2 linked regions of the Lepisosteus oculatus genome follow. The protein of the gene in region 2 binds, or shares a complex with, the protein of the main gene of each other region. Links are inferred from orthologs where the notes say so. Each region holds a gene or a part of one and is shown on either strand. Other genes may lie near its edges.

Region 1 (10,983 bases), on a different chromosome or scaffold from region 2:
AAATACTGTCAAACAAATTATCGCCTGCATCGGAAGCCATTTTATAGAACACCCAATCGATTAAATACTTTATTGTACGTATAATTCAATTGCACCTGAACACCAGAGTTGCCTTCTACAATATTAGTGCCTGAAACTGCAAAAACAAACTCCAGTCCATGTGTGAAACACGTCTTCCTGTTGGTTGTGCATTCTGGGTAAACATGCTTGAGCAGGATTTAAAGAGACCGTGCTTCCTTAAACTTGCGCTGCTTAATGGGTAGAGAGAAACCATAAACCCCCTTATGTTTTCTCTGTGACGCATATTGCGTTCATACATTCCATCCATTTTCAGGAACTTCTTTATCCTTAAGGGTGGCGGAGCTCAACAAGGCAGGTCCGGGTGCCCGGGGTGGTTCGACAACCTGGATGGGACGCATACGAGGGGACAATTTAGATACGCCAATTAACCTGGACATCGGCAGGGAAGCGGTGCTCCTGGAGAGAACCTGCGTCTCTGGGGGCGAAGGGACACATGAACTCCATGCAGAAGGTGTTCGTGAACGGAATTGAACCGGGGACCCAAGAACTGTGCGAGGGAGTCGTTCTCACCCCAGCTCAGGGTGCCGCTTGACCCTCTCCTTTCGAAAGGAGCATATGGGTAGAAAGCAGACTAAAGCGAGGTTGTGAAGTATTACTTTACTGAAAATTCATGTCGGCTGTTTGATTTTTTTGGGGGGGGGGCATTTCCATTCATTCCTTCTTCAATTAGACGTTGCAAAAATCCTCAGCTTGTGCGCTTCAACAGCATGAACCCCAAAAGGGATTGTGTCAATCATTTAAAAAGCAAGACAGTATTCTAATGAATATCCAAATCTATTTTATATAGCAAGATTTATTTTTACTACCGCAAAGCCAAACCTCCAGTTTGATCAAGTGAGTTTGTTCACTTTCACTGGCCTTATGTCAGGAATTGTCGTGCGGTTTTCTCTTATGTCGTGAGAGGGCGCCATTGGATTTTCAATGAAGGTTATATGTACTGTAGCACAAAACGAATTACCAAGGGAGAGGGATTTTGTTGCAGAACATACATGACGGATTACAAAAATCTCCATGCACAAACATTATATTTAATGGGCCAGTCTATAAACGTGATGTGAGTTGACTTGGGGGGGAATGGGATTTTACCGATGAAAGCCGATACTAAGAAAACAGACCGTCATTAATCCTATAGGAACTATGAGGAACAAAGTGTCCTTTGGCAAATGCTCTGGTATCGGTTTACGCTTGTTAGCTGTTCCTGTAACCTAAGACAGAAGCAGCCTGTTGGAGTATTTGTAACTATATTGTTATTTCTAAAAACAAACGTCTAGTAGCAGCAGAAAAAAACTTAAGGGCATAGCTGACACGTAAAAAAGTGTTTTTTATTTCAAGATACCATGCATTTATAGTACAGAGAATATTGAATTAACCACAGCTGATCATTTTGATCATCTCCTTTCAAGTCGCATAGCAGATTACACGGTAATTGCTAAAAAGTAAAACAATAAGTTAACAAATTAATTCAGAGCTCTGTATCTTAGTACCTTGATTCAGTTGATGTGATCCTTTCAGAAAATCCTCTACTTATTCTCCTATAAATCTTATTCAAACTTTAATGGTTTCTGAGCAGAACTGTCTTGGAGCTAAAACTGATAAAAACAGAAAAGTTTAAATAGTTAAAGCTGCAAGAATCTTACACTTTTGTGTAAGACTACTTTACAAAGAAAGTTAATCCAAAAGCATTTTAATGTAAAAGACAAATGAATTATGTAGTGATCAAATAACTTCACGGCTTCTTTTTTGGCTCAGAGGAAATGATAGAAGTGCATTTAAAATGGAGAACAGGAAGCACCTTTTTTACACGGTTTGTAGTAAACTTTTAGATACCCACCCATGTTCAAGAAATTGTCCCTGGCTTTTTTCAATAAATGGCTGGATGAGATCCTTATCAATTAACTTCTACAAGCCAAACTAGATGTATTCAATGGACTCATTTTGAGTCCTTTCTTATGGTTGTTCAATGAACTTTTAATGGTTAGGGTTATAATTAGCTTTGGCGTTTCTCCAGATCAGTGACCCTTCTGTAAAAATAGAAATGTAATAGTTTCCACATGCATACAAAACAATTTTAAAAAATTATAAAAATGCAAAATGTATGTTCTCTATATTGTAGTAGACATCGGTGCACTGGAAGTGTATCTTTTGTTCATAAATACAACAAACACTGAAATTTTAAATAAGTTAAATTAAAAAAAGCACAAATAAGTGCTCAATACCAGTTGCCTTGCTGCTTTTCCTTAGAATAACACCATTTTATGTTCATCTAAGTCCCTGGAAATAAGGAGTGGCACAGTAAGCGCTCAAAGCGCAGACATGCATATTGTTCTGGAAAACAGTTCTCGGTTCCCTCTTGTGGCAAAGTATCTTCTAAATGCATGTCTTCAAGATCACTGCAGGATTTTTGCCTTTGTAAACAAGTCATTTATCTTAGTCTTTAAAAATGGCAAGCAAATAGCAAATAGTCTTTAGCTGAAGGTCAGTCCATTTTCCTCCAGAAGCATATTCTGGAATTCAATCGTGCCTCTTTTTCTGGTTTTCCTGGTCACAAAAGATGTTTAGCGTTTATGGAAACTGGGACTCTGCATGTAGATTGTCGATGCACTCCCAAAAGGGTTCATGCTGTCCGTTTCAGTTAATCCTTGCTCAAGACCAGTGGACTCCCCAAAGCCTTCCATGTCAATGCCCACTGGCTCTGTAGGAATGGTACTAACCATTGGTAGGAACTGAGACAAGGGAGGAAATCCTCCATCTTCTGCTTGGAGTCTTTGCTTGGCACTGCTTAAGCTCACCACGGTCTTGTGCTTTTCAGAAATGTATATGTTATATCCATCTGGGAGGACGCGTTCAATGAAGGAACAATCCTCTTTTAAGTACGTGTGCTTTTGAGAGAAACAAAGATATGAGAGTAAAAATGTACAAGATGAATATTATGAATCATTGTTTAAGACTCGCTCAATATTACATAAATGTTCTTCATGCAATCGGCCTATTTGAGCCCAGACCTATCCGATGTAATGCAAATTCAAATACTGGCTAAAGTAACCCATAAAGTTCTGTTTTGTGCTTATCAGTAATTGAAATGCAGAAAATTAAGCTTTGGGTTTGAGAGAGCTGCTCACATTTTACCTGAGTTCCCCCCCATAAGAATATTTCAAAGCCTAAAAAGGCACTCATTTACCAGGGTTACTATTGCGGTTTCTTTTGTTTGTGAAGTAAAACCTTTGCATGTCCCACAGTTGGTCAAAGGTTATTCAGCTACAGAGGGCAAATTGCTTTTTTTCCAGCCATCCCCTTAATTTAGCACACACTCAAATTTCATACAATGTATAGTATCAATAACCGGCGTTCTGTTAAAATTTGCCCTTGTTTGAAGGTTTGTGGAAATACTGAATATCCGAGATAAGGATATTTTAAATGTCATACGCATGGAATGTAGAGTATCAAGTAACAGGTTTATTCCATGCTGAAAAGAGAAGAAAGAAAACACAACATTTTAGCTGTGGAGCCTTCTTCGGGTGTGAGCAGAAGGCTCCACAGCCGAAACGTTGTCTTCTTACTTCGCTTTTCAGCATGGAATAAACCTATTACTTCTTCCTTTTGCAGCCTACGCATGACGCAGCTCCCCACCTGAATTAATGTAGAGTATGCCAGCATACTTACAGCATTCCATATACTGGAATGGACTTCAGGGGTTATTTGTGTGAACAAAGCCGAATAATTGTATACAACTGTTAACCAATCCATTTTCAGAAAGATCATTTAAACAATGAGGTAGGTATATTTAAGCTATAAAGAATTTGTGCATAAGTGGAAGAATGCAGTGCTCCATGCACTTAAAAAAAATGTACATTCCAGTACAAAAGAAGTTCCTTCAGTTTCCTGTTAGAAATATTGGGAATGACTCCTTTAAGTGCACTAAGATGGCTTATAATTGGATTGTGTTTTAGGTACTGTTTATTGCACATTCTTAAGATTATTTACGTAAAATCTGTTTTCAGAGACAATAACCTGTTATTTTTGGCTTCAGCTGGGAGAGGAACAAACTTTTGGTCAACAGGTGAAATGGTCAAACTGGTCTAGCATTGAGATAAAACCTAATTTCCTACATAATTTACTTTTCTATTCGTGCCAATACATAGAAATATTTTAATTTTTAACTGAAGAAGCTCTTTCCAAAGAGCTTTAATATGACTTTATTATTCAAATGTGAAGCGAGAAGCAAACGTCAAATGCGAGTAAAATCGCCTTACAAGGAGCTGTCATTCTTAATGCAAGATGACTCGAATGATAAAGGTTGGCGTTTTTCCAAAATGGCTAATCTATCGACAAAGCATCTTCAACTGTGTATCAGTATACATGATATTCAAAATGATTTAAGTTTAAATGTATGTAGATAAGGCTATGGAAATAGAACATTTACATGTATTATCTTTTAAAAAGTTTAAAACCTGGCTTATTCTCTAGTTGTGCAAAATCGCTTCTATATGGCTTTAAAGTATGTGATAATTGCATTTTGGTAAATCCAAGTAACTTACCGATCCGTACAGTTTCCCACTGTCTTCCATGCAGAGATACCTTGAGGACGTAACTCCTTTAATCACCACAAATCCCGTATCAACAGCTCGTATTTCTACTAGACCTAGAACAAAAGAAAAGGTGCATTTAGTTTCCGTTTTCTGCGTTTCTTAATTATTATGCAAACTGCAGTTTGTTTAGGATCCACGTAAACTGGAAACTTTAAAGACCTGACTCATTCAAAGCATTCTTCTACAATGAAAACGGCATGATGCATTTTAGTAATCAGGTATCCCTTTAACCTAATATACCTTCGTATTTTAATCTAAAAATACATACTGTACGCATTCCTTCACGCGCCAGTAGTATGCAACCCTGCATGACCATAAATCATTGTGGTTGAGCTCAGGTGTTACGCGCTACTGTTGATTTAAACATCTCCCAATTCTCTTATTTCCCCACTTTGTCACCTCTAAGCCGAAAGAGCTGAATTTTTACAAGATATTTACCCCGCCCCCCTTGGGGCTTAAATGACAAATTCCCTGTCAGGGTCGACTAAATTCCGACATTAAGAAAAGCGTACGTGTTGCATTTTTGGCATCTGGTCCGAGGTAAAAATGAAATAACTCGGTTCAAACAGGCAATTTTAAAGTGTGTGTGTATATATATACTGTGTATATATATGGTTAGTTATGTATGACTTTTAGACGGGCGTACGAGTACTGCACATCCGAAATGTTGCCGTTGACCATTCAAATACACGCATTAGAAAACGGTCTTATAATTGCAAGGTTTTCTTGTGCACCTTTGATCTAATATCAGTTGTACACCTCGAGTAACTCGGCTACCACTACTACATACGGCCGAAAACTTGAGCACGGTTCCCAAAAAATATCTACTTACTCTTTGAGTTTTGAGAAATGGTCCCGTCCACTCGTCCGTCCTCGTTTATTTGCAAATGATAACTGAGCGGCCCGTATCTACTAGCGGTGTACAAATGTCTGAGTCTCACGGGATCTCCCCATCCGTTAATATAGTGTGGGCCCGAATCGGGCAGAGGTAAACCGTGTCCTATAACAAAAAATAAAAGGTTTGTCAAGGAAACGGCGATGCAGACACTGTGCAACATACTGAAGGTTTCCTTGGAATGTAAAACGAAGCCAAGCCAAACCGACGCGGTCTTTAGAGGTCAAATAAGTGATCCGTCGTCCCCTCAGGCTGAGATGTAGTATATAGAGACGAGCCAGATATCCTGCCTTTTTAAAGGTACTCCTTATCAGTCCAATCGATAAGCTTATTCTAGCGCCGTTATTTAAACGGCAAAACAATCATTCTACGGAAACCAAGTGTATTAAAGGTTTAAGACGTATATCGTAGGCTAAAAAAAGAACTATTAAGAGTAGTGTACAAGATAATACTTCGCGATTTTTAGATTCCTGATTGCGAAATGGCTGATTTTAATTTTATTCATATTGGTATGACTTGGTTTGCATAAATATCGCGTGTGGTTGATTAAATCTTATTTGCAGTATCTTGTGGAAGAAAATGAAAAGGTAGTATGTAAAAAGATAACCAGAGGTTCTCTTGACGTTTTGATATTGCACAATCTACGTTTTGGTTTTATTATAGAAAAAAAAATGTGATTTGAATGATTTACGTAGTTCAGAATATAGCCTTTGCTTAAGCGGGTGATCTAACTGGATAAACTTTCTTATGAATTAAAAGCCGCGCCAAACTCTTGCTGAGCAATTGTATGAATTGTTACACCCAACATTTGATAATTATATTAACAAGTTCAATAGTTATGCTCTCACCATTCATCCAAATCAGTCAGATAAATTTACTAAAAGAACATGAAGATTTTGATCTCAAGACTAAAGAGACTGTTACAATTGCCATCTTAAAAAATACAATATAGCGGGGTGACCGTTACTACAAATTGAGTTTGCAACATCAAAGCATTCAGCTAGTTTGTCACATCGAATCCATCTTCACCACATTGTATCAAGTATAGTCTCATAACGTAATGATAAGCAGCCTGTGTAGCTGCTGAAATTAACGAGGTGGCAAATGATATATTGTCGTTAATGTGGTTTCCTAGGAGGAAATACTCGGAGGAATTCGTGTCACCAGATGGCACTGTTCGCCAAAAAATAGTTGGAAATGTATAGGAAAGACCTAAATTTCACGAGGAAACTTTTTTTTTTCCAATGCATAAACCTTTTACAGCGGGCAACACGAAAGATTAAAGAACTTTACTAGCTACTTGCGGAGTGCATTAAATTCAAAAGCTTACGTTTTCTTCTAGACCCGATTTGACCCCCTTAAACTTGACAACTGAAATGCAGGCGTAGTTTAGTACATTGACGGATGTTCGCACAGAACATACAGTACGGTCTTAAACACATACCATATTAAGCGTACATGACATGCTAGAAATATGAATCATGCATTGAACAAAAAACAAATTGCATAACACTGTAAGTGTAAGGAATAAATATAAATATGCAGCACGTTGATTTTTTTGTATTTCTCATAATAAATTTTTAATTTATTGCCTTTCTTGAATTTGAAGATCTACGGGATATGTAGATGAATGTACTTATGATAATGTTTTTGTCACAACTTGTATGCTAATAAGACGAGAAATAACTGATCAAGGTCATGCTACAGGTAGGATTGTGTAACATTCATGTTTTGTTGACATCACTCTTCATTGAAGATTGCTGCCCATATACATCTTAGATCATTATAAATCCGTTACAGGTGTGGTTCAATATGTCTTATCTGCATAGTAATTAATTCACTTAATAAATATTATTACAATACAAAGCAACTAGACAATATGCGTTAGGTAGTTGATTATTTTCCATTCCCCCTAGTTTGCTGCCTAAGACCCGTTATGTGGTTGTTTGTGGTAAGGCTCTCGTATGGGGTCAAGAAAGGTCTCTGTAGCAATCAGTCGTCCACTAATGGAAATAAACTAACCTGACAAGGCAGAAAAAATGTTGAAGGCTTGTAACACTGGTCAGACATCAAATGCACACAGAAGACAATACACCCACAAGGATTCCAATTAGATAAAGCATTTTAAATATCAGTCTTTTAAAAGGTACCCATGGGAACAGAAAACCAACACTGACTGACATTCGCTGACGGACATTTCAACTCTGTTACCATAGTCGCAAGAGGTAAATGGCAAATAAGTGTTTTAAGGTCATGAAATACAATGAGGTTTTTTTTGTTGGTGGTGGTGGTGACATTTTTCATTTGATTCTCTCCAGCCCCCTCGCAAAGTAAAATGAACTTGCTTTTCTAGCCATTCATATTTTAATGTCGAAGAAGCATTTTACAAATGAACTCCAAAATGAATCAGCAGTTGCTCTTCATTGTCGTCACCCGAAAAATAGCCTCCTGGACCGGGGACTCCAAATTCTTTCCCACGCACTGCGGGCATGTTATTTACTGTTGCTGTGTTTCTTGTAAAAACAAAAAAAAAATCACACGTTTTACTAAGGCCGTCTTAGTTTTTTCACATTTGTTTAAATCTCAGTGTTAAGAAGGCATCCTGTGCAACATACAAATAAAGATTGAGATCTCCAATGGACGTGTAATTAATATCTAAATTAAAGGCTGGGATCCAGAACAAACCTCGCTTGAACTGCCACCCACAATACCACAGGCCCACTCGGGAGTTATCAGCCTGAAGCAAATGCAAAAGCCACTATTAGTTAGGCAATTTGTGATTGTTTGGAATGTGCTTTTTTTTCATCCTGGGTCTTTTCTTTTAGTATCAAGAAGATTGCTCAAGATATGTAAAAGGTTTAAAATATGGCGGGTTGCCAGTGAGTGGATCCATGCCTATTCAGTTATGAAGTATACACACCCTTTGAGGGCTGAGGCCTGTTATTCTTTGATGTTAATGGCAAGTAAAGGCTAGGCCCAGCCTGTAGCATTGGCTCTCAGACCTGGTCAGGGAGACTCTGGTGCACTGTTTTTGAATCACCTGTTTGCTTAAAGCAACATAGTGACAAAAAAGTGACATTAGCCTATTTTTGTATTGGCTTTTAGTTCCATTGGTTTTGTGATGGGTATAATGTCCTTATTACTGAGTTTCCGAGCTGCCCTAAATCAGGCATTTTGGATTAAATGTGACCAGTTGGACTTGAATGGAAGGAACAACATTCTCTCTCTGTGGGAGCGTCTGATACAGCACGATTCCCACCTTTCTGTTCATCGGCGTATAGCCTTTGGCCGTCTATTAAGAACGGTTTAGTCTAAAATAAATAAGCAAATTCTTAATAGCCAAGTTGAAGAGACTGCATGAGGTTCTATGTGCCGAAGTTATTGGAAATATAATTTTGAAACCAAGGCTTAAGTCTAGATCAAGGAAACAAGTGTGCAGATCAGTTACAGGCACCAATTAGCACCAGTGATTAAGGGTCCAGTTGTAACTAAAAGCAGCAGAGACGAGGGGTCCCACAGGACGAGGATTGAAAACCAATGGCCGCTGGTATTATGCTGATCATTAAATCCATTATCCTCTTGGAAGAGATCTTTATTTAAAGAAATAAGTAGTACCCCAGCACGTGGTGGGTGGGCAATTGCTTTTGGATTATAAAGATGACCTCTGTACAGAAAGGGCAAATGTGCTTCTTATCAGCACATCTTTATGCTGCATGAACTGTTTTCTAGAAAACACAAAAAATGCTGCACATTTTGGAGGTCTTAACAAAACTGTAAAATAATGCAAAGGTCCTATGTTACACACAGAGACCCTGAATAGATTTGAGTGCAGTAGGTTCACGTTTGCTTGTACTGCAGGTGTCATAGGTGCAGATAACACTAGACATTTGTGTTTAGGCAGGCATTACATTTGTTTCTGTATCCAGAACAGCAAGTACTATTTTTTCCCATTTGCAGCAAGTTTGAAATTGGATATAAAAGAAATGGGGATTTGTGCTTAATTCTGATGGTTTGCAGAATTGGGATGAGTTGCCTGTATACATTTCTATGACTTGTTTGATTTAAGCATACACACGAGTTATACAACTCCTGTAAAATGAGGAAAGTGATTATTGGCCAGCTGATATCAAGGAACCCTTTGTAGAGTTGCCTGTGTTACTGAATACTTTGATGTCAGGTATGAAGTCTAATTTCCCTTAACTTCTGGTGTAAATGAAGTTTAATCACAGGACATTTTGTAATAATGACCCACTGTAATAAATGTTTCATATCTTTGTGCATTACTGAATAAAATAGTTTTAAAAGATTGTCACTGAGTCAGTATTTTAAAATTTGCCACAGTGATCTCACATTGCCATGAATGACTCTTTGTGTTCTCCAGTTTGTCCAAAATCTTCTAGGAAGTGGTTCAACTGATTTCATATTGACCTCTGTGGTAACAATATTGTGGTCATCTTGATCTCACAATAATGTATAATTTTGTTCTTTTGTAAGGGTTGAGAGCCCAGAAGCATTCTTAACAAGTGACCCTATTCCTCCTACTGCAACATGTGTAATGGCTGCATTCAGCCACCCTTTAGAGCTGGTCTGTTATGCCTTCTCTGTGAAATTTCACTTTGTATAGATTTATTGTATACTCAACATTGTTCTTGCCTTATTAGTGGGAGGGAAGCTTATGTAATACACTCTTACAGCTCATTTGCCTGTGTAAGGTAAGGGTGACAGTTTCTGGATAGGAGCAGCTTAATTATGAAATAATCAGGAAGATATTCAGCTCCTCCCCCTATCAGTTTCTGTGTTTTAAAAAGTTGAAATGTTCGACAGGAATAGGGTAAGAGAAAAATGCTGTTTAATTCTCAGTCCTAATTTTGTCTCATTAATATCATGCATTCCTGAACAGATAGCCATCTCATATTGGACATTGTGCTACTAGCACTGATGATGAAGTTGCCTTTTGAAACATAATAAAAGCTCTATTCATCACTATTTTCCTAGGAAAGCTTTACAGTAGGGGGATATACTGCTATTCCAATATACACAGTTTTCTTTGGACTTTATGGGCACTGACAATAGTATTGACATACTTCGTTTTTACTAATTCATTTAGTTCGTTATTAAACTAAGGAACAAGTAGATGTTATTTTGCTTTTTGTGCATGTGATTTATATCAAATTATGCTTGTCAATGATATATTTTTGACATTTGTGAATACAGGAGGGTTGGTGTGATAAGAATATACAGACATCAATATTATGTCCTATAAATCTTGAAAAATATTAAGCTTAAAATTTCAAATATTACTTAATCAGAGGATTGTTGATACTTTTCCCTGCAATGTTATGAGTATGATGCAAGCCATAGTTCTTTTTAATTTGTTTGCTTCATTGCACATGAATTAATAACTTACAAAATTACCGAAGT
Region 2 (11,747 bases):
ACAAGTTGTAGAAAATGCACTTCGGGTAAATGGCACAACTCAGTGGGAAACAAAAATAACAATTTCCTCCTCCTATTCCGATTTTTGTGAGAGAGGTCACAGTTGTCCTACAAGCTAGTAAGTCCTCCTTTGCTCCCACTGCTCAAACTGTGGCACACTTGCAATTCCTGCACAAGATGACACACAGCAGTCATGACAACAACACCCACTCCTGCTGTCACAGGTTTAGGCTTCTCTCAGTGTCACTGCTGCGTGTGATACATATGTGACTGAGATGGGAGTAAAATGGGACTTACTGACTGCATTTCGAACACTAGTCCTATGCCCCTGTCCGGACCTAGCTGCTGTGTTCTTTATCTATTTCTAACCTCACCAATGAGTCCCTTAACTCTTGTCGTGTACCAGCAGATGCAAGCTCTCCTGCTCTGACATCTGTGTCAAACAGAATCAGGCCTAGACCTTCAAGAACATCACTACCACAATATTCTCAATTTGCCTTTACATGCAAAAAGTATGTATGAGGCAGGGTCAGCTCGACTGCATCTATTAAGCTCTATGAAGGTTTTTAGTCACGTTTCTAGTTTAGATAAAGATACAGAGCTGAAGCAGCCCTTCCAAAGGTTGTGAATTATTTTCTGGCAGTTTCGGTCTCCAGATAGATCACTTACTAAGCTCGCCCTAGAGCTGAATCCCATGGAATATTACGTAGGGATCACCAGTACTTCCTTACTGGCATACTCACATATTTTTAACATTATTATTTAATTCATCGCAATGCTACAATTTGCAGTGCAAGTTAAGTTAGGAAGTGGCTAAATAACATAGTCCTACATTTCAATACCTTCTACATGCAAAATATATATTACAAGAAAAATCATTTTATGTCTATTTTTTCCATAAATACAGATTATGTTTTAGTATATTACGAGCAGGTATCAGATGAATGAATGAGTGCCTTGTTGTGGTGTAATCTATGCATAAACCCTCAGTATTTAGTACTTGTTTGCAGCGATCAGCAGCAGTTGTTCTTAGCAGAAAAACAGGATAAGCACACTGCATTTAAGATCTTTTGGCCCTTGATAAATAATTAATATTTTCTTAACATAACTTACTCATGAATAATGGCACATTGTGATGTGCAATCCTGAATAATGCGTAAAAATGAAAATGCAGCTGTCTTTTTTATCTGCAACAATATTGAGAAATGTCAGCGATAGAGAAAGCATCTCTCTTTTGCTTCAGTTTCAACTGCAAAAGTGAGCACTGTTTCGAACCATTCTCTCAACACTCACTGAATTGAATTACCAATGCCTCTACGTGACACTTGTTTATATCATTCATACAAAACTCGTCAACAGAGAAGGTGCTTATCAAGCCATTTACTTTTAGTGCTTCTAAAATCCAGGGATTTCACCCCAAGGACCATCTCTCTAGAGCTTCAGGCTATATGTAAGGGGGCCACGTTATTGCCTACTATTATGCTGGCCAGGCAACAGAACAACACAGCTTGTCAACCCATTTGTACTCATATTTGAAAGTCATGAAGACTACGATGGTGGAAGAAAGTGATAAAAAAAGCAATTTTGCCCAGGAAACATTATGATCTTTTGCTTCCAATCTGACACCCACTCAGAGGGCGTTCATCAGCTTTTCCAAGAAACAATAAGTATCAGCACGCTGGCCTGAAGGCCTAAACTCCAGCTGACCCACATCACAGAAATTCAATTCTGCCATTAATAGAGGAAATGTGCGAGACCAGAGTGTGGGCCATCATCAGAGCCATCCGTCTGCCATGTCAGGAGGGGACTTCAAGCGGACACACCTGAGTTGATGATGTTACGTTTCCTTCGCTTTACCGATGACTTATCATCACTTTTGGGACTCTTCCCCTGAAACACACAACACAGATGCAGATGAGGAAACAGATAAGGTTCTCAATGCACTGCAGTCTGACCCATTTCTGGTTGATGAACTGCATGATCATCAAGAATCCCAACATCCACAGATGCTGAGATGTTCAGGTTTATTAATTTAATTTACCTTATACAGTACATTTGTACACCCAGTACTGCAATACTACTAATGAAACACACTGCTTTCTGGCTTTAGTAGTGACCTACAGCTGTTGAAACCTGTCAAACTGTTTTGTAACAGAAGTGATGCGTTCCCTTAAAGATGAGGTCCATCCCAATGGATGGGGACAATTTCCCTTTAAAATGAACACTGTCAATTTTCACCTGAGATCAATGAAAGGATCTATAGGAACTGCTAAAAAACAAAACAAAAACATCTTTGAGACAACCATGCAGATTTCGGAACCTGTCACTTTCTATACAGGCTAGAATGGTGACCCCTGGTTTGTAAGCTTGCTCAAGTAGTTTCTCAACGCTGATTTGCACCATTCAGTGCCTGTTATTGTGTTTTAACACGTATTTCGTGCTGAAAGGGGAACTGCACTCCCAATTTCTCATACTGGTTATTAGATCTCAGTAACAAAATAAATGCATTGACTTTATAAAAAGATTTACAAATTCCAAATTAAGCATACAATTGTGAACTTTCTAGAAAGCACTAAGTCTCAATGTTGTCACAAACTCGCATTCGAGTTCCCACTAATTGAGACGTGATGTTGCCCTTCCTGCTCACTAGTCACTATAATGACTAATGTAGTGCGATGTATGAGCAAATAAGTACAGGTTGTACCGCAGCTATTTCACCTCAGAAATGTTCCAATGTCATCTGCGTGCAGAGCTAACAAATAAGTAGCATTTGTCAGCAAAACCGTCACAAAATCGAGAGCAATATTTCTACTGGATTAAAATTGGATTCAAAAGCCTGTTTGTTTACAATGTAAAAAGCTGCATCACGTCACCGGAAGTTTTGTTGTCTCATTCTGAATCGCAGGACTCAGCGCCGTGGATACTTGGAAATTTCATCTATATTGTGGTGTAACAAAATTTTTGCAAACTACTTTTACTGTGGTTGGAAATGCACTCACCCAAGTGATTCTTTTGAACCACGGAACTATAAAAACAGTGTTGAAGTTCCCCTTTAAGGACTTGCCAACACCAAGATGTTATTGTTGTCCACATTACAATCTGGACTAGACGGGACCCAGACTAGAACGCAGCTGGGACCCACCCTCCAAGCCCAATTTCCCTACCCCAGATTTGCTGTTTGATTTATGTGGGGTAAATGCCAAACACCCCCCAACAGAATCATGATTCAGAACCGGGCCTGGCTGCAGCGACCTGTGGGCGAGTCCAGAGCTCTTTCATTGAATCCAGGCCTGCGTGCCATGCCTTGCGGACATACACGAAGACCTCTGGGACACGCTGGCCCAGACAGGTGACCGCTCTCTCTATCAGTTTCCTGTCAAGCACTGACCTTGGATCCAGACTTTTTCACCTTCACATCACCCTCAGCTTTGGAGGACCTGTTCTTTGTCAGCCTCTCCTTCTCCCCAGCTTGGTTTTGCAACTGAGACTGGAAATACTTTCTTATGTCCTGCAAACGATACACACGGCCACGCAAGGTTAGCACTCCGAACCAAAATAACGTGTCAGTTGGTCCCCCGTCATGAGAGCTGGACTTTCCAACCTGGCTGAATGCGAGAGTGGGACAATGTTGGTTTTTTTTAAAAAAAAGATCTGTACACGATAGGGAAATTTGTATTTGATCTGTTTTACATTAGGAAATACTCAACAAGTTCTCTCAATACAAATGCTTTATGAGCATCCTGTAATGAGGTGAGAAACAGCCACGGGATTCATGTGGATGCAGCTACTGTAAGGTTGAACCCAAAAGGATCTGCATATGTGAAAACTAGGGATGTCCAACACGGGTCCCGGAAGGCTACAGTCTTCTACACAACCCCCAATTACTTAACTGTTACAATCAGCCCCTGCAGTTCACTCGTCTTTGACATGTGGACAGGAAGAACATATGTGCACATCTGCAATTTCCCCTCCCGCGTACCCAGAGCTTTGGTAATTGACTCTCCCGTATCTCTCAGTTTTCCAGCTAAGGGGTTTTGAAACGTGCAGCATTTAACAGAATTGATTTTGAAAGCAATTATTGAATTATAAATTCGTCACAGCTGTGATAACTCTACCGAATCAAAACATCGTTCCAGTCAAACGACAGATCGCAGATCTGCAGCGCACGATATTTTTAGTAAGCGCAATGTACATTCTAAATCGAAATGTACTTTGCGAATCCGTATGCGTTCAGAAAAACAGTATTACATTGAGCACGTTTCTCGAACGTCTTAATGCGATTAGTCTCTGTTTCTGCAAGCGCACACCTCTTTTAGTGCATGAGAACTACGCATTCATGTTAAGTGCCAACTCTAAGAAAAAATGTGTGTGTTAGATGCTTGCAAAAATAAGGCATTTTTGCAAAAGGTGTGAATAAAGTACTACCCCACCACTTTAATTTAAATCTCGGTTTAAGCCAGAGCTACTTCCAAGTCAAACGTACTTCTCTGTAAGCGAAATGGCACATTTCGAAACTTGCAGCTGTAACAGTGCTTGCAAAGCCACGAACGCCGCAAGTTATACTCACCATCGTATATTATATACGATTTCTTGAATGTTTAAAGCCAGTGTGCACCTCCAGTGCTCTTCCAGCTTGGCGCCAAGTGCATTCCTCCCAGGTCGCTGAGAAATGACGCAAGCCGCGGCCGCTGTCAGCGCGAGGCGGGCCGAGGGTGCCTGCGCAGTGCGGCCCTGAAGCTGCGGAGGAGCGCGCCGCAGACGGACAGGTGCAGCGCGCGTGCTGGACATGCACCCTATTGCCATGTGCACAACAGCGTTTGTGTTATTGTAGTTTTAGACATGGCCAATGGTCTTTTCAGTTCTCCTGATATTAGTATATAGCTGTCAATATACTGCAACATTTTTGGCGTGCCAGTATTGAATGCCCTTTGACCTATGTTCATCCAGCTGCGGTGCATTTTTTTAAGTTCCTTTCCATGTACTATGCCGATCTGGTATCATTTTCAAACTTGATTAGTTCATTTAAATGATTTAGGAAGAACAGACACCTATATCTCCCGAAATGTAGCTTTTGCTGCACAGCTCATCTGTGCTCTCAATTTTCTATTAACCAATGCTGTATCCAATTTCACGCTTAATACCATCATGTTGTAGGAGACTCTAATTTTGCAAACTCGACTAGTTTTCCATAATAGTTAGAGGTGTTTGGAGGAGCAGTAATCATTATACAAATCCCAGTGGGCATATAATTAATAATTAATAAATTAACAAATAACACCAATTTGAGTATTCACCCCTTATCAGTACCCAGTTTTCTGTCTATTAGCCAGCTCACAATCCAGGTACACACAGTTCATTGAATGTCTGACACCTGCAATTTGAGTATTAATCTGGCAGGAGGAAATTCATCAAAAGCCCTCCAAAAATCTAAATATACCAAACAGTGTGCTGACATATCCATTAGTGTTGTTGCTTGTTCAAAGAACTCTAACAAGTTGTACCTTTCCGCTAGAATCTATTTTGATCATATCCTGTTTAGGTCTCTAATTATATTCTCCCAGTCCTGGCCAAATTTCCCCCTGGCCTTTACCAGTCATGGCCTCCTAATAATCCCCATTAATAAACTGTGTTCATCGCTCTGTTCTCCTCCCCACTGAGAACTGGTGTGTGGGGAGCGTACTGGTGCACTGTGGCTGCTGTCGCATCATCCAGCTGGGGCTCCTTATTGGTGGTAGTGGAGGGGAGTCTCCATTACCTGTAATACACTTTGAGTGGAGTTTCTAGAAAAGTGTACATATAAGTGTAAGGAATAATTATTGGCAGTAATAGTACTTTCAGAATGGTACACAGTGGAAATATTTTTATATAGTTTTACATATATACTGTACATCACACATTTTAGTATTATAAAATAGTAGTTTTATTGTCTGTAGTCTGTAATTGTTTACACAGAGTTTTAATTTGAATTTTTAAATTGTCATATTTCATTATCTGCTCTTGCCAGCATAAACAGCAAATGAAACTTCAATTAAAGAAATAACTGATGGCAAAACACTGAAATCAAATGTGAGCTCTAATTAGGAGGGTCTGGACACTGTCAATGAGTTTAAATGAGTCCTGTTTCATCTGAAATTTACGATGCCCTCTCCTGCAAGTCACATTTAATCTATCTTCTGGAAGAAGAAAGAGCCAGACGAGATTTTTTTCCAAATATCCCTTTAATTCTTTTCACATAGCCCTGAAAGGGCGATGAAAGAAAAATGATCAAATATCCCCTAGGCTTAGACAAAGTCTGAATTCACACAGTATGGCCCATGAAATTAGTACAGAACATTTAAATATATTCCCAGGAGAAATACTGTATTTGTAGCTCATCACTCGAAAAATAAATTGTATCTGTTTCTAATCTGAGTGAGAGATTGATTCAGTGTCCCTGAAAAATCTGTAAAGAGTTAAAAAAACAATTGACAACAAATAATCAGTTTTTGAATGTTTTGGTACAATGTGAGAAGAAGGCAAAATATTTACAATTGACTTATTATGTATATATGGTAAAATTACCACCTACCAATATATTGTATTATATCCACATCCACATTGGATAAAGCAATGTGGTCTTAGCAAAACAATATTGCTTTTGTAGGACAATGTAATATCTGTTCATAGCTGATGAGGTAAATGATTGGCTTGTCACGTGGTTTAAACATTTATGTTAAACCAGTCATTTGACATTACCCAAAAGATGACATCCTCTGTGCAAGAAGTATTTGCACAGAAAAGAAGGTGAGACCCTTCCAGTGGTGGTCCAAGCTTGCTGCTCTTCCACTCCAAATTGTTTTTTTAAATCCTGTCATTTTCACTGGCTGCTTCTTGCCAGTCTCCAGTGAACGCCGATATTTGCTCAACACCTGCAGTGAAGGGGGTCTCTCAGATGGCATGCAGTCTCTGTGCACCGTGTGTGCACATACAGTGCTCTGCCTGCTCAGCCTGTGTGTCTTTATTCCGTTGTGCTGCAAGTGTGTGTGTGTCTGAGCAGTCTCCCAGGGCAGAGCGTGCTAGGAGCCGCCGAGCTGCCTTCCCGGAGCACACTTCTCCCTCCTAACTCATCCTTGGGATCACAGTTCAGGCTAATCATTGACAGAGGTCCAACTTGCAACAGAAGATTGTTGTGTTTTTTTTTCCCACTGGCACGATAAGGCAGTCCAGCAGCTCAGGTCTTCAGATGGCCCCAGCTCAGCTTGGCTGAGCTCTCGTGTGCTTTCCCTGTCCTCTGCTCCAGCCGTCATGCTCGTCTCCCTCGGTTTGGGCTGGATCTGAGTCCCAGGGGAGCACAGGATGGGTCCCCTTGCTTTAAAAAGCCTGTTTGTGCTGCTCCTGTGTAGCCGGGGGGCCGTGGTCTGCCTGCCAGGAGATGGACGAGCCGTGTGGAGAGCGCAGTCCAGCTCAACCCCCGTGGACGCCAGCCAGCTGTTCCTGCACGGCACGTTCCCCCAGGACTTCCTCTGGGGAGCCGGGAGCGCCGCTTTTCCGAGCGAGGGAGCCTGGGACCAGGACGGCAAGGGCCCCTCCATTTGGGATCACTTCACTCGCTCCCAGCAGGCTCCGGGGTCTGGCACCTCCAGCGACAGCTACAGGCTGTGGGAGCAGGACGTGGAGCTGCTGAAGCACCTAGGGGTGCGGACCTACAGTTTCTCCATTTCGTGGCCCCGGCTGTTCCCCAACGGGACCGGCGGGGCCCCCAACCTGCCGGGGGTGGAGCACTACAATCTGCTGATTGACCGGCTGAAGCAGGAGGGCATCGAGCCCGTGGTCACCCTCTACCACTGGGACCTGCCCCTGGCACTCCAGCAGCGCCACAGCGGGTGGCACAGCGACGCCCTGGTGGATGACTTCGAGAGCTATGCCGCCTTCTGCTTCCAGAGCTTCGGGGATCGCGTCAAGTACTGGGTGACAATGCACAACCCCTACGCGGTGGCCTGGCACGGCTATGGGACAGGCGTGCATGCCCCCGGAGAGAGAGGGAACCTCACAGCTGTCTTTGCTGTGGCTCACAATCTAATCAAGGTGAGGTAGCGCGGCTGATAAGACGTAATGGGTTTTTTTTTTCCGTGCCTGATCTATCTGCAGCCTGGCATCATTCATTCAAGGACCCAGTCGCTCTCACACAAAGCCTGACTTTGTTTCTCAAGTGAAGCTGCTGCGGTTGCCTTTTTGTTATGTGCACTGCATAGTCTGCTCTACGGGTCAGTCATAATGATTATTTATTTAAGGCTCAGTGGAGAATGGGGAAGGGAATGCACAGACAGCATAGCATACACTTCTCCAGCGCCTATGATTTATTTATCATGATAGTCAGGACTTTGGTCTTTTGGTTCAGACACCGAGAGGTAATGAAATCCATAGGGGAGGATTCTGAAGAGTTCAGTTCTTTTCCATTTGTTTTTAGAATTGTTCTTTAAACCTCAATTCCCCTGTTTCCTGCATTTTGCAGCAACAGCCCAACTTCATCTTGTATAATAGTGATAGCTTGACAAACACAGATCACTGTAGTTTTTAAAGCTCGTGCTAAAACAAAACTCATTTAAAACTTGCCGCGTGTCTGAATGAAACAACATCAGCCCACACTGCTGGCTTCATTTTCTCACCCTGACAAAGACAGAATTAGGAGTCTCAGAATAATCCTAAAAACTAATTTCCTGTATTTTATATATAAATATAACCTGCAAGGAATAACCTGCTGTTGTCATGTGCCTCAAAAACATGGTTATATTAAACATTGTTCAGATTTTCCAAAGCAGCCTGTTTAGAGTTTGAGTACCTATCAAAATCTTTACTTAATACATAACCAGCAACAATTACTTCCAATTCTTTCAACTGCCATTTTGCAGTGACTCTTTTACTGCTTTCTCGTGTTGTACTATGCCCACACCAGAAAAGGCACACCACTTAAATGACACGTAAGTGAAGAAATGAGATTTAAAAACAGGAATTAAAGTCCGGGAATTATGACAGTCTTAAATTACTTGAGATATATAATAGATTTCGAGTAAGAAAAATATATCATTTTTGGGCACGATGAAAAGATACTGATGAATGACAATTCTGATTTCACAGGGGGGAAAATGAAAAGCGCTGATATGATACTATATTTCTGTAAGAGTTGACTCGTGATTACAAACCCAGGCTCTGACAGGTTTCCGTTACGCAGGAAGCAGCCTCTAGCAAAATAAAAAGCTGCCATCTAGCGTTAGTTTTGAAAACTGCGATGACAGGGTAGGTCATGATTGACAGCACGGGGACCCCTTGCTGAGCCCCGAGTTTCTGGAAAAGTCAGGTGTACAGCAGAGGGCTTGAAAGGTTTTTCTAGTAGCCTTTTATTAGAACATTTTCTGTTAAAGAATCTCACCTGTGACCCTGTGTTGTGTAATGAAATTCCACTTGAGTGGATCGCTAATGCTTCTGAATAATAAATAATTTCTATTTGTGATGACCCTCAAATTGAACAAAAATGTGTTCTTTTTCCTTAAAAGGCTATTTAAAAAAAAACTCAATCCTTGACGATTGAAACACTGATGCTTCTTCTTGCTCTTTTGATTGCCTGTTTCGTCTTAGGCCCATGCAAAAGCGTGGCACACGTACGACAGGAGATTTCGAAAACTCCAGCACGGACAGGTGTCCATAGCTCTGGGATCTCACTGGATAGAGCCGGAGGGAGGGAAAGCCAGCCCATTCAACGTGGAAAAATGCCAGGAGTCTATGGAGGCTGTTCTGGGCTGGTTTGCAGAGCCCATATACGGACAAGGGGACTACCCGACCCTCCTGAAAAACAGCACACATGGCCTCCTCCCTGCCTTCACTGCAGAAGAGAAGGACAACATTAAGGGGACTGCAGACTTCTTCGCTTTTTCGTTTGGGCCCAACAGCCTAAGGCTAGTACACAGTTCAGTGAGGTTTGGCCAACACGTGTCACTGAGCCTGAGACAGGTGCTGAACTGGATTAAACTTCAATACAACAATCCCAGAATTCTCATTCTGGAGAATGGGTGGTTCTCAGACACCAGCGTGACTACGGAAGACACTGTGGCCATCTACGTGATGAAAAAGTTCATAAACCAAGTTCTGCAGGGTGAGTATTAGGTGTAGGGTCCTGCTGGGTGCTGCTGTTCATGACTTGGTCGGTAATATCGTTTCCACAATTCATTTTTTGTGTAAGTTTCAGAACCATAATCTGTGTGAAGGATTGTGTTGCTGTTTCAACTCTTCCAGAAACTGATAGAGTATTTTAGGAAAGCACAGGTATTTAATAAAAGTTAGACTTATTATAACTGCATTATTGTCAGATGTACAGGTACTTGATGTGCACTTCACTTTATCAGGGAGAGGTGAGCCTTTAACAACCTTACAGAGAAGAACGCCAAGCTTCATGTTTCGGCTTTGTCTTTATCTTTCAGCAATGCTACACGATGGTGTGCAAGTCCTGGGTTATACCTTGTGGTCTCTGGTGGATGGTTTTGAGTGGAATTACGGCTATTCAGTCAGGAGAGGGCTGTTCTACGTGGACCCCAACAGCAAAGACAAAGCAAGAATCCCCAAGACATCAGCTGCTTTCTACAAACAGGTCATCAAAGACGGGGGCTTCCCTGGAAGGGAGGGGGACGAGGCTGTCCAGGGCCAGTTCCCCTGCGACTTTCACTGGGGCGTCTCCGACTCCGTACTGCAGGCAAGTGAAAAGGGCAGGAGGAGACAATGTGCACTTCTCTGGGAATAATCAGGGGGTAACTTGTAATAAAGCAAAGGTCCTAGTGCTCCCGCCTTACGGCTCAAGCATTGCAAGATATGCCAGCAACCCACTTTGCACCGAGTACGCACTGGGTCTGACACAGCATCATTGCCGTCTTCATGCACTTGTGCGGCGATGCAAGATACAGTAGATCTCATGATACAGTGCAGCACGCTTCACCAAAAAGAAAACCATGACGTCGATGCTACCAGATACTTCCATAAGTGTGTCATGGAGAGCAAATTCTGATGTATGATCTTCACATCGCCAAGTAACAGCGCCTGCAAATCAAGTGTTTTGGATATTTGCATTTCTGTGTGCTGTATAGTGTTCTCCCCAAAATGATGAACTGCTACTGGATTAGGCCAAGCACCCACATAAAACAAGTACTTGTCTTAGGAACTTGTACTTGGACAGTGTAAGACTGTCTGGAAACAGTTATATTAACAATTTGCAGCAATGTACATGTGTGTGTGTGTCATTTTTTTATCGCATTTACCAAATATTGTGCTGTATTGCCCTGCGTCTGTAAATATTGAAAAGGTGGGGACACTGATATTTAGGTTCAGGGTTAACCGTGAAAGTTTAAACCCAATTTTTAAAATGTTGACAGTTAGGCTTTTCTGTGGTGTAAGAGTGATGACCGGATCTCCGTTCGCTTTCGCCTGCTTGAGTCACATACAATGGACAATCAGTTATCAGCAGATAACTCCTCTATGCTAGACCAGCATCTCACCTACAGCTGGAGAACTCTACACTGTCTAGATTTCATGGGACTCTTTCAGTGCACTGAGCCTTGTTACGTACGATAGAAACTAAAATCTTCAGGGCATGGGTGAAGTCGTTTTACTTGAATTCTAAGCTAGCATGTCTTCAGCTTCAGGTTTTTCTCAAGACAGTTCAACTTTCACAAAAACAACATAAATAAGCCCTCATACAGGTCTTTAGTGTTTATACCAGAGCCCCTA

What was found.
Region 1: the proteins of klb (region 2) and fgf19 are in contact, whole or in part, in a crystal structure (PDB 6NFJ), measured with the Homo sapiens proteins. The link is inferred for Lepisosteus oculatus from reciprocal best matches to the Homo sapiens genes KLB and FGF19. Residues at the interface, in NP_783864.1 of Homo sapiens: Phe379, Lys380, Val392, Leu394, Trp419, Phe420, Thr421, Asp422, Val425, Thr431, Tyr434, Met435, Asn438, Tyr643, Glu693, Arg696, His743, Asn824, Phe826, Met832, Gln848, Phe849, Leu850, Gln851, Ile853, Leu862, Phe931, Phe942; in NP_005108.1 of Homo sapiens: Leu192, Thr194, Asp195, Ser196, Met197, Pro199, Phe200, Leu202, Val203, Thr204, Ser211, Pro212, Ser213.

What each region holds. Positions count from the first base shown.
Region 1 is NC_090716.1:5,538,613-5,549,595, forward strand, and holds fgf19 (fibroblast growth factor 19), read right to left. Parts: upstream 5,802-10,983; 5' UTR 5,726-5,801; coding exon 5,500-5,725; intron 4,721-5,499; coding exon 4,617-4,720; intron 2,961-4,616; coding exon 2,637-2,960; 3' UTR 1,397-2,636; downstream 1-1,396. Other genes in the region: protein LTO1 homolog, read right to left, coding at 1-40. UniProt on the Homo sapiens protein: Involved in the suppression of bile acid biosynthesis through down-regulation of CYP7A1 expression, following positive regulation of the JNK and ERK1/2 cascades. Stimulates glucose uptake in adipocytes. Activity requires the presence of KLB and FGFR4.
Region 2 is NC_090696.1:68,395,842-68,407,588, reverse strand, and holds the start of klb (beta-klotho), read left to right. Parts: upstream 1-7,126; 5' UTR 7,127-7,334; coding exon 7,335-8,063; intron 8,064-9,611; coding exon 9,612-10,125; intron 10,126-10,450; coding exon 10,451-10,719; intron 10,720-11,747. Other genes in the region: rfc1 (replication factor C subunit 1), read right to left, coding at 1,823-1,889, 3,388-3,507, 4,567-4,569.